Solanum lycopersicum: one gene and its partner. Each later gene encodes a partner of the first gene's protein in a complex. Links are inferred from orthologs where the notes say so. Each region holds a gene or a part of one and is shown on either strand. Other genes may lie near its edges.

Region 1 (11,786 bases):
CGGTAGATGATTTGGTGTCAAATCCCGTCTCCTTCTTCTTCTTCGTCTTCTTCCCCTTATTTCTGGTGCTTCCACATTGAAGCTGATTCACTTTCTCTGCGTCCTTATTTCTCTCCCCTGTTTCGAACCACCGGGAGAAAATCCATCTCGGCGATATACAAGTAGTAAAACTCCGGCTACAAGTTTCCGATCTTCTTTTTCTAATCTCAGTACAAGCCCTAGCTGTGATAATGGAGATACTGCAATAATCATCGCCACTTCCCATTACGATTTACTGTTTTATAACCTGAAATCACTCTCTTATGTGGTAATCTAAATGTATTTTGGGGATCGGAGAGAACTCATCAGCTTCTTATTCTTTCGATTTTCGAAAAACTGATTTGATTTTGAGGTGAAAGGAGGGAAATTTTTTGAAAATGAAAGGTTCACGAGATTCATCACATACTAATTTATGAGCATATCTGACTGCAACCGAAATTCCATTAATGACATTAAATTACTTGAATTTCTATTTTTATATTAGCTGGAAAAAAACATAAATGTAATATTATTATATTTATTTAAACCCAAAAGAAAAAAGCAGAGAAAAACAAAAAGAAAATTCCATTCCTTACTTGATTTTTAAGCACTAATTATTAAATGCCTAGCTTATGCTTTTGAATTATATTTAAACTTAACTTGCTTTGCAACAGTACTCTCTTCTCTCTTTTGTTTATTCTCTCTTTTGTTTATAGTTTGGCTTAAAAATGTCTTTATCGTCAATAATTTAATTTAAAAATATCTTTAAATTGCGCAAAAAGAATAAAAATGTCTCGTTTGTATTTTGGTCCAAAAATACTCGTCATTAATATTTCGATCCAAAAATGCCCTTATTGTTATTTAATGAGTCAAAAAAATTAGTTTCCAAATAAATATTGTATTATTTTCTTTTTGACACATTTTTTTCAATTAATTTTTTTAAAAAAATAGCAAATGTTTATCTTACTTTATTTCAAAAAAAAAAATGAAACAAATTTTATTTTACCATCAATATTTTTTATTATTATATAAATATAAATTAGTGATAGATATACTATCAATTTATATATATGGCATATATTATTTATCAAAAGGATACATGAAATTATTCCATTTAATTGATGAAATGAGACTTAGAAGAAAAAGAATATTTCCAACCATTTTTATTTGTCAAAGTGATTTTAGAAGAAAGAAACAAGAATAGTGTTCTTTAATAATATTTTAATTAGGAAGAAGATATGTTTAAAAAGAAAAATAATAATATATTTATTTGAAAAAAAGCATTTTCGACTCATTTTGTAACTATTGGGGCATTTATGGACCAAAGTATTATTGACTGCAAGGGCATTTTTGAACTAAAGTATTGACAGTAAGAGCATTTGTGCGCCAAAGAATTAACAGCGTTTTTGTTCCTTTCACACAGTTTAAAGACATTTTTTTTAACCCTTTTTCCAAAATAAGAGTTCAACGAAATTTTTCTTTTCAAGCTTTAATAAAATGTGGCATTTTTTGGGTAAGAGAATTATTTTTTCCTCTCACTCGTACAGAAGTCAAAAGTGCTAATACCTAAAATTAAATGACGTCAAATTGTACAAAGAAATTATGTTTTCGTGTAGTTGAGGTGGGTAAGTATCAATACCCTCTAAATAATACCATAAATTATTGTTCTATTTTAAGGACCACAAAGCATATAGTATTAGTAATTCATAGTATTTGATTCAAATCACAGTTAACAATCCCATTCTAACGACTGTTATTTGCTCAAATCAATGACATTCATCTTACAATTATAAACGAACATTCAAATACATACAGAGATTTGATATAAATGCCGATACGAATTATTTAATTTTTGTGTGTAGGTCATCTATCTTGGCCGCCTTCCTAGTGTAGTAGCTCTTCCTAACCATTGGTACCAGCAAACTCCAATTAAGGTTTGATGATTGTAATAGAGCTAAGGCAGTCAACAGGTCAAAAAAGGAAACAGTTCTAGATGTCTAGTCTCATAGAAATAAATGGCGGAAGATGCAATCATTTGCATCCAAACAAGGTTAAAACACTAAATAGGTTTTGTAGGAAATACATGATAAAGACATATCTGATGATGGAGTCTCGAGGATTCATCATCGCTAGCTCGAATTTAATGTTCTTCTGCAAATTCCTCATGACAATGATGATGCTAATGCTCGGAGAAGTTTGCTAGTGTGTTTTACCTGTGCCAAGAAAAAGTTTCATCAGATGGGAAAATTCAGATGTTCAATAAAGTTTCGTCATATCATTGTTGATAATGTTTCATATTTCACTTTAGCCAAGTTCTGTCACATATATAAACAGAAAAATGGCAAGATCTCAGAACCAGCATAGAGGAATTTTAGTGACTCAAGATGTTTTACTTCAGTAGATGGTATGCAGATCCAGCATGGATTACAAAATATATCCTGAAATAAGAATTTGAGCCAGCTACTAGAGGAATACTCCATTTGAAACTATCGAGAGATATTATAGGTGAAACGCGTAGAAAAGCACCAAAATCTGTTGGGACTTGAGAGGAAAAGCTTAAGTGAGGTCATATGCAAAGAAAAACACTGATGAATAATATTAAAAATATATATGTAGAGCAAGGAAAAATAACTACACAAAAAATAATACTACACTAATCATTTGGATAGAAAACTTAACAGAACTACTATGATTAAGTGAAACTGAATTTCTAATTTGGATGTAATTCAGTTGTAAGTCTTCACTAACTATTCTTCTTTTCTAGTTTCGTATTTCTAATTTCTAGTTTCTTATTCGTAACGATTAAGAATATATAAAACAGCATTTTGTATCAATCCGTCAACTAAGTTGACATTTACTCTATAGTCTAACTTCCTAAAAATGACAAGGACACTATTTAGCTACTTGATGCCTGAGCCAAGGTGTCAATTAAGCAAGGCAAAGCGCCCAACTCGGACTTCACCTAGCTTCAGAGTTAAAGTGCACTTTAAATGAATATTTAACGATTTCTGAGAATAGATTATGAATGATGCAAATAATAACTTAGATATTTCGATAGCTAGCGATGTCCAACTTATTTGTGAAGTTCCTAATGCTGATTTGAATTCTATGTAGCATTGAATTCAACTCAAAAAAATACATAAGGTAACAAAAATATTAATCTTTAAGCAAATCAAATCTCCCAACAACTTAGGCAAACATACATTTTTCTAAAGCCATGTCTTCGGGAAGTTCTCGATGTACGTGATATGTAACATAGATCACTCCCGGATGCCCTCAAAGTCCATATATGGAAAGATCAACTCTCCAGGCTACTTAAATTACTTTAAATGCTTAGACTATTTCTAGTCAAGTATTAAACTGAACAATCAGCTATCCAGGTGCCTGACTAGAGCCCGGGTAGCACCGTTACTTCAATTATTTGCTTCACTTTGATGTAATTAGATTTAAATACAATCAGTCAGTTAAGAAGGCAATGCATTACTTTATCATAACCTTGGCCCAAAACATTTTATGTTCTCAGTACAGTCAGAGCAGTCATTTGTGGCGAGCGCCATAGTGATTACAACAGTAACATCAATAAAAATTTCTCATGAGCACTTTATTCTCATGTATTACAACAAACTACAAATTGACTGCATCCAGAACACTGCATAGTTGTTTCACTTGCATCTAGTAAAATCAAAATGACAGGTGATTCAACTCAACTTCTTTTGGGCAGGCCAAAAACAACTTGCAGCGCATAATTTTACCTTGGTTAAAATGCGAGTATGAGCTATAGTTCAGAGTTAATAATCTCCTCAACTGAGCCTTTGTACCTCGAAATAAGATCCCTGTAATTAAGCATGAAACATGACCATCAGATGAAGCAAATAATAATTATACAAATTTCAGTAGACAATATTAGAAACACACACACACACACATATATATATGTGTGTGTGTGTGTGTTTTATATATATATAATACAAACCTTCGCTGATTTAGCATTTGTTCGCACTCTGCCTTTTTGCGCTTTTGTCCCTCAACTGTCTGTCCAAAGAACACAGGACTGGTCAATTATCTTACCCATATTTAAGCATCAAAACATGCAACCAAATAAGAATTTGTGGAGCAACTTTGTTCAAGTCAACATCGTTTCAAACATATTGAACCCCACTTTTCAGTAAAATTCTTCACAACTATAAGTTGAACAAACAGGCCCAAATGGAAAAGCACAATTAAAAGCAATAACACTGCCAAAAGAAAAACAATCCAACTCTTCCAGAAAAGAATAATTTTGAAGTTCTGTTTTCATATTATTGCGCTTAACTCTTTGTTGGAGTCTCTCTCTTTTTTCTTTTTATTTTTTGAGTTGGGGGTGTGTTCAGAACAAGTTACAACAGAAATCAAAGGATATGTGTGAAAATGAAATACCATAGATCTTGAGCTAATAGACCCTGATATTGATGTCAACAGCTGCTGGCACTTCTCAAACTGATTTTTCAATTCAGTTACCTGGTGAGGAAAAATACACCCGGTTTAATGTAGAAGAAATGGAAAACTAACATATAATGCATCAATCAAGAAATGAACAAACCAATGCATCTGAGTGCTGATCTCGATTTCCATTTTCAATTGTATCAGCTAAATTCTCCACCAGCTGTAAGATGACAATAAAAGTTAGAACAAAAGGTCTCACTAGGAAAGAGAAATGTCTCGTTACTCTATTAAAATAGCAAGCTACAGATCATGGTTTTTGCCCAATACTTGTAAAAGATGGAAGTGAGAGGCAAGTGATTGGTGGTGCTGTTGTTGTTGTTGCTGCTGCTGCTGTTGTTGTTGTTGCTGCATTTGCTGCTGCTGTTGTTGTTGTTGCTGCATTTGCTGCTGCTGCATCTGTTGCTGCTGCTGCATTTGTTGCTGTTGCATCTGTTGTTGATACCGTTGTTGTTGTTGCTGCTGCTGCTGCTGTTGTTGCTGATAGAGCTGCGGTTGAATGAACTGTTGTTGTTGAAATTGCTGTTGCTGAAGAAATAAATTGTCTTGATTGGAGGGTGTCGAAGGATTACTGTGAGTTTGGATGTTGGGGATCATTGTCCAACTTCCTCCTCCAAAGTGGTCCATAACTAATGGCTGTTGAGCTGAAATCTGTTGGTACTTTGGTTCTAAAATGGATAAAATTAATGTCATCAGATGTAATCAAGTACTACACAAATAGCCAAAACTATCAAAGCATGAACTGGCCTAATGGACTGAGTAGCAAAGAGAAATAATTCCTAAGATTCTGAAATGTACAAACCACTTCAAAAATATATTTCCCATCATTCCTAAATGACATTTCATCCACATCTTATTACAAGAATAGTTCTTTTGTACCAAAGAGAACAAAGCCATCAAGTGAGACCCTCTAAAACTGAAGCCCATCCCTCGTAACAAACAGTAAACTCTTCTTTGAAATTTAACAAACAGTAAACTCTTATCTCCAAGTAAAAACTACCATGACATCTGTATAAATTTGGTGTTCACATTGTTAAATCAATAGGTACATCGGAAAAAATTACTGCTGCAACTATGTCTTTTTGATAAGGTTAAAAATTATCCTTGAATGGGCATCGGGTAGATGCCAGATTACAAAATATGCGACCGCTTAGCTCTAATTCGGAAGGGCATAAAAAAAATCTCAGCACTCATACAAGTATCCTAAACTAAAGCTAAGGAGCTAGCAATCCCAAGCAAACCAAAAGGGTAGATAGTTATTAGTATGCACTAAAAAAGTTTACAAAACCTAAAACTGTAAAATTAGATAGTTATTAAAGTGAGAAATGAATCAATCCCAACTGCACCTCTTACTCTTTATCTCTAATTTAGCTCAGTAATCAAGAAGTATGCCTCAATCCCGAATTAGTTTGGGTTTACTATATGAATTCTCTCCATTAGAACCCCATCTATTCCAATATTCAATAATTTAGGTTTTCATAACCCTAGAGGTTCCCTATTACTAACATACAAATATCTCTCTATCTATGAAATTAACAGTTTTAGGTCAAAATCACAACCTCAAAATTTCCAACAAAAAAGAACTCTAAATCTTCTGAACAGAATCTTCGTTTGCTATAACACTGACAACCAAACCCTTGATTTAAGCCGCCACAAGAGAATGAATTCACAACTATACGAAGCTAAACTTTACTGAAACCACAACTAGTACAGTTAATAACAAAGCAGAAGTACGATGAGAATTACAAAACGAGAAAGATTACCGGAGATGAAAAGGCCCGATCCGGTTAAACCCCAACGGAAAATCCTCTGTTTTTTCAAATAGCAAAATTGAAATTACTCCCGCTGTCCCAATTTGTGGGGAGGTTTCGATTTCAAGAGCAAACAAGCTAATTTAGAAATTTTAACATTTTCTATAGTATAAAATTTAGTATGTATTAAAAAAAAATAGATAATTTTTAATAATTAAAATACTAATTCAAAATACATAAAACTCACTTTTCATTAACCGATTTGATTTATATATGAACTAATATTTTAACAAACTGAAATAGATTGAACTAATAAAAAAGTAGATCACTAGTGCATTCAAATTTGAATGAATTGTATTTAAATTAAGAGGAAACAACACAAAACACACATTTACATTTGTGTTATTTATCGGTTGAAACTATACTTTCTAATTATATTTTCTCTTAGAACTTTACAAAATAGATACATATGAGTCAAAATTAGATATAATTTATTCTATACACTTGATATCTAAGCATGTTTCACATGTATTCAAAAGTCATTATAAAGAGATTGATAAATAAGTACAGTCAAATAGAAAAACTTGCATATGATGTTCATTGATTGGAAAGTTTTTTAGACAGAGTCTTGAAGGAGGTTTTTTGGAGATGTTTGGAAATTGGAGGTATGTAGAAGTCTGATATCAAAACGGACACTTTTTAAACCCTAAACACTAAAAGGGACCCTCTATAAAACACACACCAAATTTTTTTGGAGGTCCCTTTGGGTGTTTAGGGTTCATAAAATGTATGTATTAATGCCAGACTCTATGACGTATATTTAGAAGATCAAGGACATGTATGAAGGAGTCAAGACCTAGAAGAAAAAAAAGCACTTTTCCACTATGAAGAGGTTGCACCAGACATCAACTTTTAGATCAAAATCATTTATCTTGATGATGAATGAATTAACGCGATATATCCAAGAAAGTGTATGATGAGTATGTTACTCGCCAAATAGTGGCGGAGCCAGAAATTTCGCCGAGGTTGTTCAAACTTTAAAAGAGTCGATAATTTTTTTAGCGAAGTGGGTACACAAAATTTATTTTTGCAAATGTGTGAGAAATTAAATTACACATCACTTAGTAACTAAATCTTGCGGAAATTTAAAATGATAAAACTATCGATGGAATAAATCAAAACTAATGGACAAAAGTCACAAAATAATTTTTGCTTGAAATATACTCCCTCTAGTTCATATGAAATAAATTGTCGAGTGTTTTTTGTAATTTAAATAACTGAATAGTTCAAATATCGAATAATGTATGATGAGCTTGAGTCGAGTCACAAAAAGGGCTATGATGAGCCTTTTGAGAGTGACTTTCACGATTATGATGAGTTTTTTTCTCCTATTTTCAAATTCTTAACTATTTTACTTTTTCTAAATAGAAAGATACTTTAGAAATACTCAAAAGTATAATAATAAATAATAATCTTTAATTTTTTCTTTAAAATAAAATCTTGAGAATGTGTATACCTAATAAGTCACTTAATACAGATCTCTTACACATAATTGAAAAGAGAGTGTGTTTTATGTTTTAAAAAACATGTTGCAACTGAGGACCTCTTGCACGTAAATGAACATGCTTACCAGCAGACCAATAGACTTTGTCATAGGTGTTCAATTAATTATATATCGCAATATTATATAGCATTTTATTTATATATAGGGTATAATTTGGCCAAAAACATTTTTTAACTATACCCGAAATCTAAACTACATCCTTAAATTATTATTTTTAGCATAAAACATCATTTATCTATACCCCAAATTTAAGCTACATTCTTAAAGTATCATTTTTAGCAGAAAACATCCTTTAAGTATTTGTAAGTGAACAACTTTCATCCTTTTGTTAGATATTGTCAAAAACTAAGGGATCTTACAAAAACATGAGCAGTTAACGCGACTATCAACAAAAGTTATTATGTATAATTTCATTATTTTCTACAAGAAGTTCTTGAAAAATATAAAAAATCTTAGACATTGTTGCTTATGGAAATTAAAAATGATTGAAAGGTGTGAGCGTACATGATTCGCCTTTTCCGTAATTGAAAAAGGTTGGAGATTAATTATTTTGAAATTTTAGCCAAAATCATCATTAAACTATACCTCAAACTCAAATTACAGCCTTAAAGTATATTCTTATCATAAAACATCCTTAAAGTATTTTAAAGTAAATAATTTTCATCCTTAATTGATATATCCCTCAAAAAATAAGCCGTCCCTTCCTAATTGTTATTCTTATATATGCCAAGAATATTATCGCGAACTTTTTCTTAATTGAGTTAAGAATTATGCAAAATCTTTTAATTTGACCGTCTTTTTCATTCATTTTTCATATAATTTTAATTTAAAATATTATTAATTTAAATAGTTTCTTCTCAATTAAATATGCTAGAAGCGACATTTTTTGGAGACTTCCCCTTCAAATAATGTAGAATGAAACTCAAATACAAGACATAATCAATATTTTGGTCACTTCGATATTAGATTGACCCAAAAATCTAATAATTTAATTGGTTAAGAAAAAGATAAAAATAATTAATCTCCAACTTCTTTCTGTTGCGCAAAAGGCAAATCATGTACGCTCACACCTTCTAATCATTTATAGTTTTCATAAGCAACAGTGTCTAAGATTTTTTATATTTTCAAGAATTTATTGTAGATTTAATGAAATTATGCATAATAAAATTTGTTGATAGTCACATTAATTGCTCATGTTTTCGTAAGATCCCTTAATCTTTTGACAATATCTAACAAAAGGATGAAAATTGTTCACGTAAAAATACTTAAAGGATGTTTTCTGCTGAAAATGATACTTTAAAGATATAGTTTAATTTTGAATATAGTTATCTGCTAAAAATGATATTTTAGGGCTATAATTTAAGTTTGACATATAGTTAAAAAATATTTTTGGCCAAAACTCAGTGATCGCTGACCACCCTTCCATACCGGTAGCTCCGCCTCACCAATGAGATAATTTTGATCGGATAGACTCATAGTGATTTTTGATACTAAGTTGGAAGTTCAAAGACAACTTTTGATGTCTAAAGAGTCATGTTGATTAAAACCAAGACAACATACTCTGCGTACTGAGGCCAACAATGAATACTACCAATAATTATATATTATAAAATAAAAAGTTACCTAGTCAGAAATATTGAGATAAAAATAAAATTTGTATACATCACTTTATTTTGAATTTCACTATATGAAATTAATTTAAATAAACTATTGTTATCGTTAGATGTAGAGAGGATCAAGTTTTGTTATTTGCTCTAAATTCTAGTGGCACCTAAAAGTTAAAAATAAAAAATAAAAAAGGCAAAGGGAGGAAACAAAAAAGTTACCGGCCACACGAAACATTCCAATGGTCAATACAAGTTAACCCACTGTCACACGGATAAAAGGAAGGGTGAAACTGATAAGACAACAATTGAAGTTACATTTGACATGACTAGTTGAAGTGATATTACTTTAATTTGTCCTCACTCTTTGGGCCCCATCCTTCCATATATTTTGTTTTCATAAAATAAATTAGTCGAGTGTTCGAAGCACATATTAAAGCATGAGTGTTAATTCGAGATGATATTTCAACAATACATATCACTATATTATTATAACTCATATTGGTCTCATTATCTTCTTTTGTTCCTTCTCTATGGGCCATTACATTTTCCTATAAATGGTCTAGCAACTCTCCCTTCACTATTTCTACTTCTTATTTTATGAGTACAAGAAAATTAGAATTTCTAAAATTCTTTAAATAATAATTTATGTGGTAATATTGCATAACAATCTTTGCTATTTATTGGATCTAATGAAATAAATACTACTACCACGTTATAATACCATCATAACTAGGTAGACTATAATTCAAAGTTTTATTTGTAAGTTCTGGAAATTTACACATTAAACGTTAAATAATTTGATCTTCTGAACCAAATCACAATATATTTAATTTATTCACACTTATACACGAACTTTACTTGTGGAGTAAAAAAGAAATAAAGAGCTTAAAAAAAATAAATATCTTGTTATTATTATTTATTAATGATTTGATTTGTTTACAATAATATCCCTTTACCTTATTTAGTTGGAAAATGTTTTTGACATTTTTGTTATTTTATACCCGAAAAACTATTTTTGCTAATGTTATTCTACTATAAATAAAATAACTTATCTTGATACTAATTATTTGCCTTCATATATATTTATTTTTACAATCAATAACTACACAAGAGACAAAATTGTACTAAATTTTATCGCAACATACCAAAATTAGCCCCAAGTAATTGAGATATTTTCTCTGGAAATTATTTTTTCTACAAAAAGGGTTAAAAATATCTTTAAACTGTTCGAAATAATACATAGCTCAAAATATATCCTTAAACTATATTTCGACTTAAATATGGTCTTCTCATCAAATTATAGGATCAAATATCCTTTCTATTAACAGAATCTATTAGACGCCGCTTGATGCCGAATGAAAAGCTAAATGAGATAAGTGAATTTATTTTTTATTTTCTATATTTATATTAGAATTCGATTAATACAATTTATATTTCATTCAAAAACAACACTCGACTACTTCTTATCAATAATTTTTTTAATTCCAAAATTCATATTCGAGACTTTGAATAACCTCATCCGGTACACCGGACCCTAACGCGAGTGGTATGAATCAAATCATGAACCCATAAGAAGTAAAACTATTTGCACTCTTTTACATCCTATATATAGCGAGTCTTAACAACTTCAAAAAATACCCACACAAAAGTAACACAGCCATGTTAGACGTATATAGTACCATTAATTCCGTCTCACAAAACTTCTCCCTATCATCGGCGCCGGCGCCGACACTACCACTACCGCCGCCTTCGTCACCACCGACGGTGAGCCGTTACGAGCTACAAAAACGGCGAGACTGGAACACATTCGGACAGTACTTGAGAAACCACAAGCCACCACTGATACTTGCGCGATGCAGCGGAGCGAACATTCTAGAATTCTTAAAATACCTAGATCAATTCGGAAAAACGAAAGTTCACAGCTGTAATTGTCCGTTTTTCGGCGATCCTCATCCGCCGGCGCCGTGCAATTGCCCGTTGAAACAGGCGTGGGGGAGCCTTGACGCGCTAATTGGGAGGCTACGCGCTGCTTTCGAAGAGAACGGAGGACGGACGGAGACGAATCCGTTCGGTGCTCGAGCAGTGAGGTTGTATTTGAAGGAAGTGAGAGACACGCAAGCCAAAGCGAGGGGGATTGCTTATGAGAAGAAGAAAAGAAGAAATATTAAGCAGCGGATTAGTAGTACTATTAATAATTGTGATTAGAGTTTGAGAAAAATAAAATAAAAAATGAAGATGCTATATATAATTAATGGCTTTAATTATTTGGAATTTGAATTAATTAGCTCGTTGGAATATCATGTATATAAATAGGAGTACCATGGAGTTTGAATTTATTATCTCATATTTCAATCGAGCAATTCAAAG
Region 2 (4,099 bases), on another chromosome or scaffold:
GTGCAAAGAAGTAAAGTATGTCCTTACCTTGATTAGTTGCATGAACTCACTACAATGGTTGTTAATAAGCTCCTTCCTGGGGCCGCTCGGATTTGCCATTTCATCCATTACACCTCCTGCTAGCTCCAGAACTCTGACTATCCTCTGCAAGCATCAGAGGAAGATACAGCAACAGAAGGTATGAGAGTAATGTTTCAGTTACAATTTTTTCTATCAAGAAAAGTGATTACTGACTCCGCATTGAAAGTTATGATCGTGATTTACTCATCAAATTACGATTAGTTGCCTTTGCACTTGACATGCTATATCATCTCCACGTTTTTAATCTGAAGAAACCAATGACTAGGAAACAACAGAGATGCTGTTTCCGTTAGACCAGAGAAAACTCGTGTCAGTAGATATTCAGGGCATATGACAGGACGATCTCGAATACGATTTGATTTCCAACTGTTGAAGATCAGCCTGGAGTTTGTGGAAGATACTCAATGAGCCAGACAGGAAGAAAGCAACCAACAGAAGCAGAAGTTTGAAAAGCCCTTTCAGATCCTATTCTCGGTCCACAGCGTCTTTGATTTATTCATCATTGTCGTCATCTCAACACTATTCCCATCTTCATTCTCTGACTTCGAATTATATTATTTTGGCTGATTTGAGGATGGGTTGAGTTGGGTTGGGTCAGCCCATTTTGACAGTTAGGTGGGTGACATGAAATTCTTAGTCATGGTTATCTAGCCAAGCGGCTCTTGTTCTCATTCATTTCATTTGTCCGGTTGTCCCAGAAATTGAAGGATCCGGAACTCCAGAAGGCTTAGGAGAGCTCAATGGTGGAGTCCCTTACCGAGGCATAACACCATCCATATATCTTCAAGCTTGTCTATGTGTTTCACCCAATCAACGAAATATGGATTTCACCTAAATTCAAAAAGTACTCTCCTCGCTCTCTTTCTTTCTTGAAACATTTTGGTATACAGGATAGGGGAACAAGTAACAAGGACTCGGGCAAGGAAGGAATAATATTGTAGTATCAATTCTGAAATCAGAACATTAAGTATTTTGATGACAAAGAATAGCAGCTACTGAAATCAACCCATCTTAAGTCAATAATCCTGTAGAAACATTTACCTTCTCAACATTTTGCAGCCGCTGCAATGAAGTATTCTGGCTTTGCGAATCCATGTATTCTGAGGGAAGCTGTCAGGACAGGAGAAAAAGATTACTGAATTGCAATGCCGTAGAGCGATCTAGATGTGGAGAAATAAACAGAATCTATAAAACCTGATTATGTGCAGTTTTCAGAGATTTTGGTTCTGAGATCTTTGCAGTCAAATAATTAAACAATCAGAAACCTAAATCCTCTGTAATCAATCCGAAAACAGAAGAAAAACTTACATCTAATAAGTATTATGTCCATTAAACTTACCACCCTACTACACTCTTTCAAGGTACGGGTTTGGCCGAAATCAACAACTTTTCTCTGAACTCTATATTTGTCTTAAGAAATCTATTTAATATGTATAAATTATTAATTTATAAGAGATTATTTTATCCTGCGTGTAGTTGGCAAGATGCAGGATAACAATCTCATGCGATATGTTCTAAAATGTTGAGATTGGCTATTCCATATAGAAGTTGGATAGCTGATCCCACGAGAGAAATCCTTGTCTATTCCATCCCCCATACCGAACGATCAAGGACTAGAACACTGAACCCGTAAACTTCAAATCCTAGCTCCGCCTTTACCCCCAAGACCTGCTGATTATCAAACGAGCAATCCTAACATTTCACCGTCTTCCTCTAGCATTTCTGCAAAGGGGCTATTTCCTTCGACACTCAAACCCATTGCCAGACTTGATTAATCACCCCTTACTGTTCAAATGGAATCATTTCGTTTTTTGCAATTTTCTAATTGTTCAATAGTCTTATAAATTTGAATTCAATTTTTCAAATTCTATCTCGGAGTAGCCATTCACTCAACTCCGAATGAGCTCTTTCGAATCGTTCAATAGCCCTGAACCTGAGATCTGCAGTTTATTAAACAAGCAACCAGTGATAGTCTTATGTTTCTTCGCTGTTCCAAATTTGTCCTACACTCTCAAAACCTCACTAATTTCATATTCCACTTACTTCATTAACTCTTTGTCATCTTCTCTCTTCTCCATTTTTTGGAGGAATTCATCACTCATATCTCTGACTGCAGCGGCTCAACCCTAAAGCCAGCCACTAAAGCAAGCAGTGGATTTAGGACCCAAAAAAATAAGGTCCTCAAATTACAAATCCCTGAAGCTCCGAAAGAACCAAAAAGCCCCAAATTCAGCTCAAATGCACAACGATATTTCATATCATGCATGAGTGAAACAAAGCTCAGATACAAATACAAATACATATAAGACGCACAGGCACGAAATATTTTTCTTATTATTAAAAAAGGAGCCAGCGAGATGTCTGATATCGGCATCTACAAGTGAGAAGTCAATCATACCTTACCTTCAACGGCGGCTATGAGTGGCAGAAGAACGGCAGTCACCGGTGGTCGGAGATAGTCTCAGCTCCGAGTTGTTGCCTGTAATTTTTATTTTTTATTTTTATCATACAAGCATGTAATTGAATAAACATATTGCTTAAATTAACGCATATTTTTTTTAAAAAAAAACATTTTTTCAATTTTTTATTTGTTTAATATGTTATAAAGGTTTTAAAAAAGATATAGCAAACAAAAAATTCAACATAGTGTGAAATTAGGTCTTAGGCGTAACTCACACCCCAAAAGCTAGCTCAAAAGGAAACTCACACCTCAAAAGCTAGCTCAAAGGGTGGAGGATTGCTCAAGCCTTATAAGGAGTTCACTCATCTCATTAATCACCGATGTGGGACTTTTTGTCATTCTTTAACACATAGAAACTATATAATTCTCTATACATATACAGTTGAAGCAAATTGTATAAAATGAAGTGTATAAAACAAAAAATAGAAAGACACTTGGGCAGAGAACTGTATAAAAACGAAGCGTATAAAGCAAATTGCATTATTATAAGTGTATAGAACGATTATATAAAATTTGAATTTGTATAAAATGAGAAAGAGAAAGACAAAAAAGACTTGACAAGGAATATACAATTGAATAGAATTGTATAAAACGAGAAAGAGAGAAATTAGATACAATTTGAGAATTGTATAAAACGAGAAAGAGAGAAAGACAAAAGAAATTGGGCAGGGTGGTATTTTTATTGTATAATTATAATTGTATAGGACGAAAATATATGTACTTGCATGTGTATATACAATTTTCTCATGCTTTATACAAACAGAAACGCAATTTATACATTTCGCTTTTGTTTGTATAAGTGAGAAAGGCGAGGGTGGCGAGCGAGATTTGGGAGAGTGGCGAGCGAGACCTGGAAGAGGGGAGAGAGAGGAACAAAAATATATGTATTTATACAATTTTCTCTGCTTTATACAATTAGAAACAATTTTTATACACTTGTGTTTGTGTAAAAAGTGAGGAAGCGAGTGAGAGATTGGAGGAGAGTGGCGAACGAGATTTTTGGGATAGAGGCGCCTGACAATTTTTTTGCAAACGTTTACTATGAAGCATAATTAAATCAAACCCTACCTACTCTATTTATTTTAGGTTATTAGTTTGCTATATACAATTTTCCCTTTAAAAATACATTTGCTGATTAAATGAATATATACTAATCTAAAAACTATTTATTTTCAAAAACGTTTTCTTAAAACAAGTTTTTTAAAAAAACTTTTTAGCAAATTCATTTGAAAAGTGTTTTTATAAGCAATATGTGTTTGACTAATTTTTTTAAAAAGTGTTTTTATAAGCAATTTGTGTTTGAATAATTTTTTTAAAAAGTGTTTTTGAAAGTCAAATTACGAAAAAAAACAAATATCGATGTGCTTTTAATATTAAAATTATTTTATAGAGAGAAACTATTTTAAACATTTAATACATAAAATTTAATTATATTTTTAATTTAATCACTTGAAATATACATATTCAAATTTTCAATCAATATTGTAAAAAGATAAATATTGTTGAAATCTTTTTGCGAAGAAGAATATTTTTGTTATTTATTATCTATTTTTCGAA

What was found. Proteins that work in one complex are often made in the same cells at the same time.
Region 2: mediator of RNA polymerase II transcription subunit 9 (region 1) and mediator of RNA polymerase II transcription subunit 11 share a complex: the UniProt entries of both Arabidopsis thaliana proteins name them as parts of the mediator complex. The link is inferred for Solanum lycopersicum from reciprocal best matches to the Arabidopsis thaliana genes MED9 and AT3G01435.

What each region holds. Positions count from the first base shown.
Region 1 is NC_090801.1:55,594,911-55,606,696, reverse strand, and holds mediator of RNA polymerase II transcription subunit 9, read right to left. Parts: upstream 6,582-11,786; 5' UTR 6,261-6,581; intron 5,166-6,260; 5' UTR 5,125-5,165; coding exon 4,768-5,124; intron 4,661-4,767; coding exon 4,598-4,660; intron 4,516-4,597; coding exon 4,435-4,515; intron 4,051-4,434; coding exon 3,992-4,050; intron 3,852-3,991; coding exon 3,794-3,851; 3' UTR 3,771-3,793; exon of another isoform or gene 3,483-3,770; intron 2,232-3,482; 3' UTR 1,710-2,231; downstream 1-1,709. Other genes in the region: protein POLARALIZATION DURING ASYMMETRIC DIVISION AND REDISTRIBUTION-like, read right to left, coding at 1-265; TFAM1 (protein LIGHT-DEPENDENT SHORT HYPOCOTYLS 4), read left to right, coding at 11,079-11,624. UniProt on the Arabidopsis thaliana protein: Component of the Mediator complex, a coactivator involved in the regulated transcription of nearly all RNA polymerase II-dependent genes.
Region 2 is NC_090803.1:5,625,740-5,629,838, forward strand, and holds the start of mediator of RNA polymerase II transcription subunit 11, read right to left. Parts: upstream 2,801-4,099; 5' UTR 2,485-2,800; exon of another isoform or gene 2,480-2,484; intron 1,192-2,479; 5' UTR 1,177-1,191; coding exon 1,123-1,176; intron 145-1,122; coding exon 28-144; intron 1-27. UniProt on the Arabidopsis thaliana protein: Component of the Mediator complex, a coactivator involved in the regulated transcription of nearly all RNA polymerase II-dependent genes.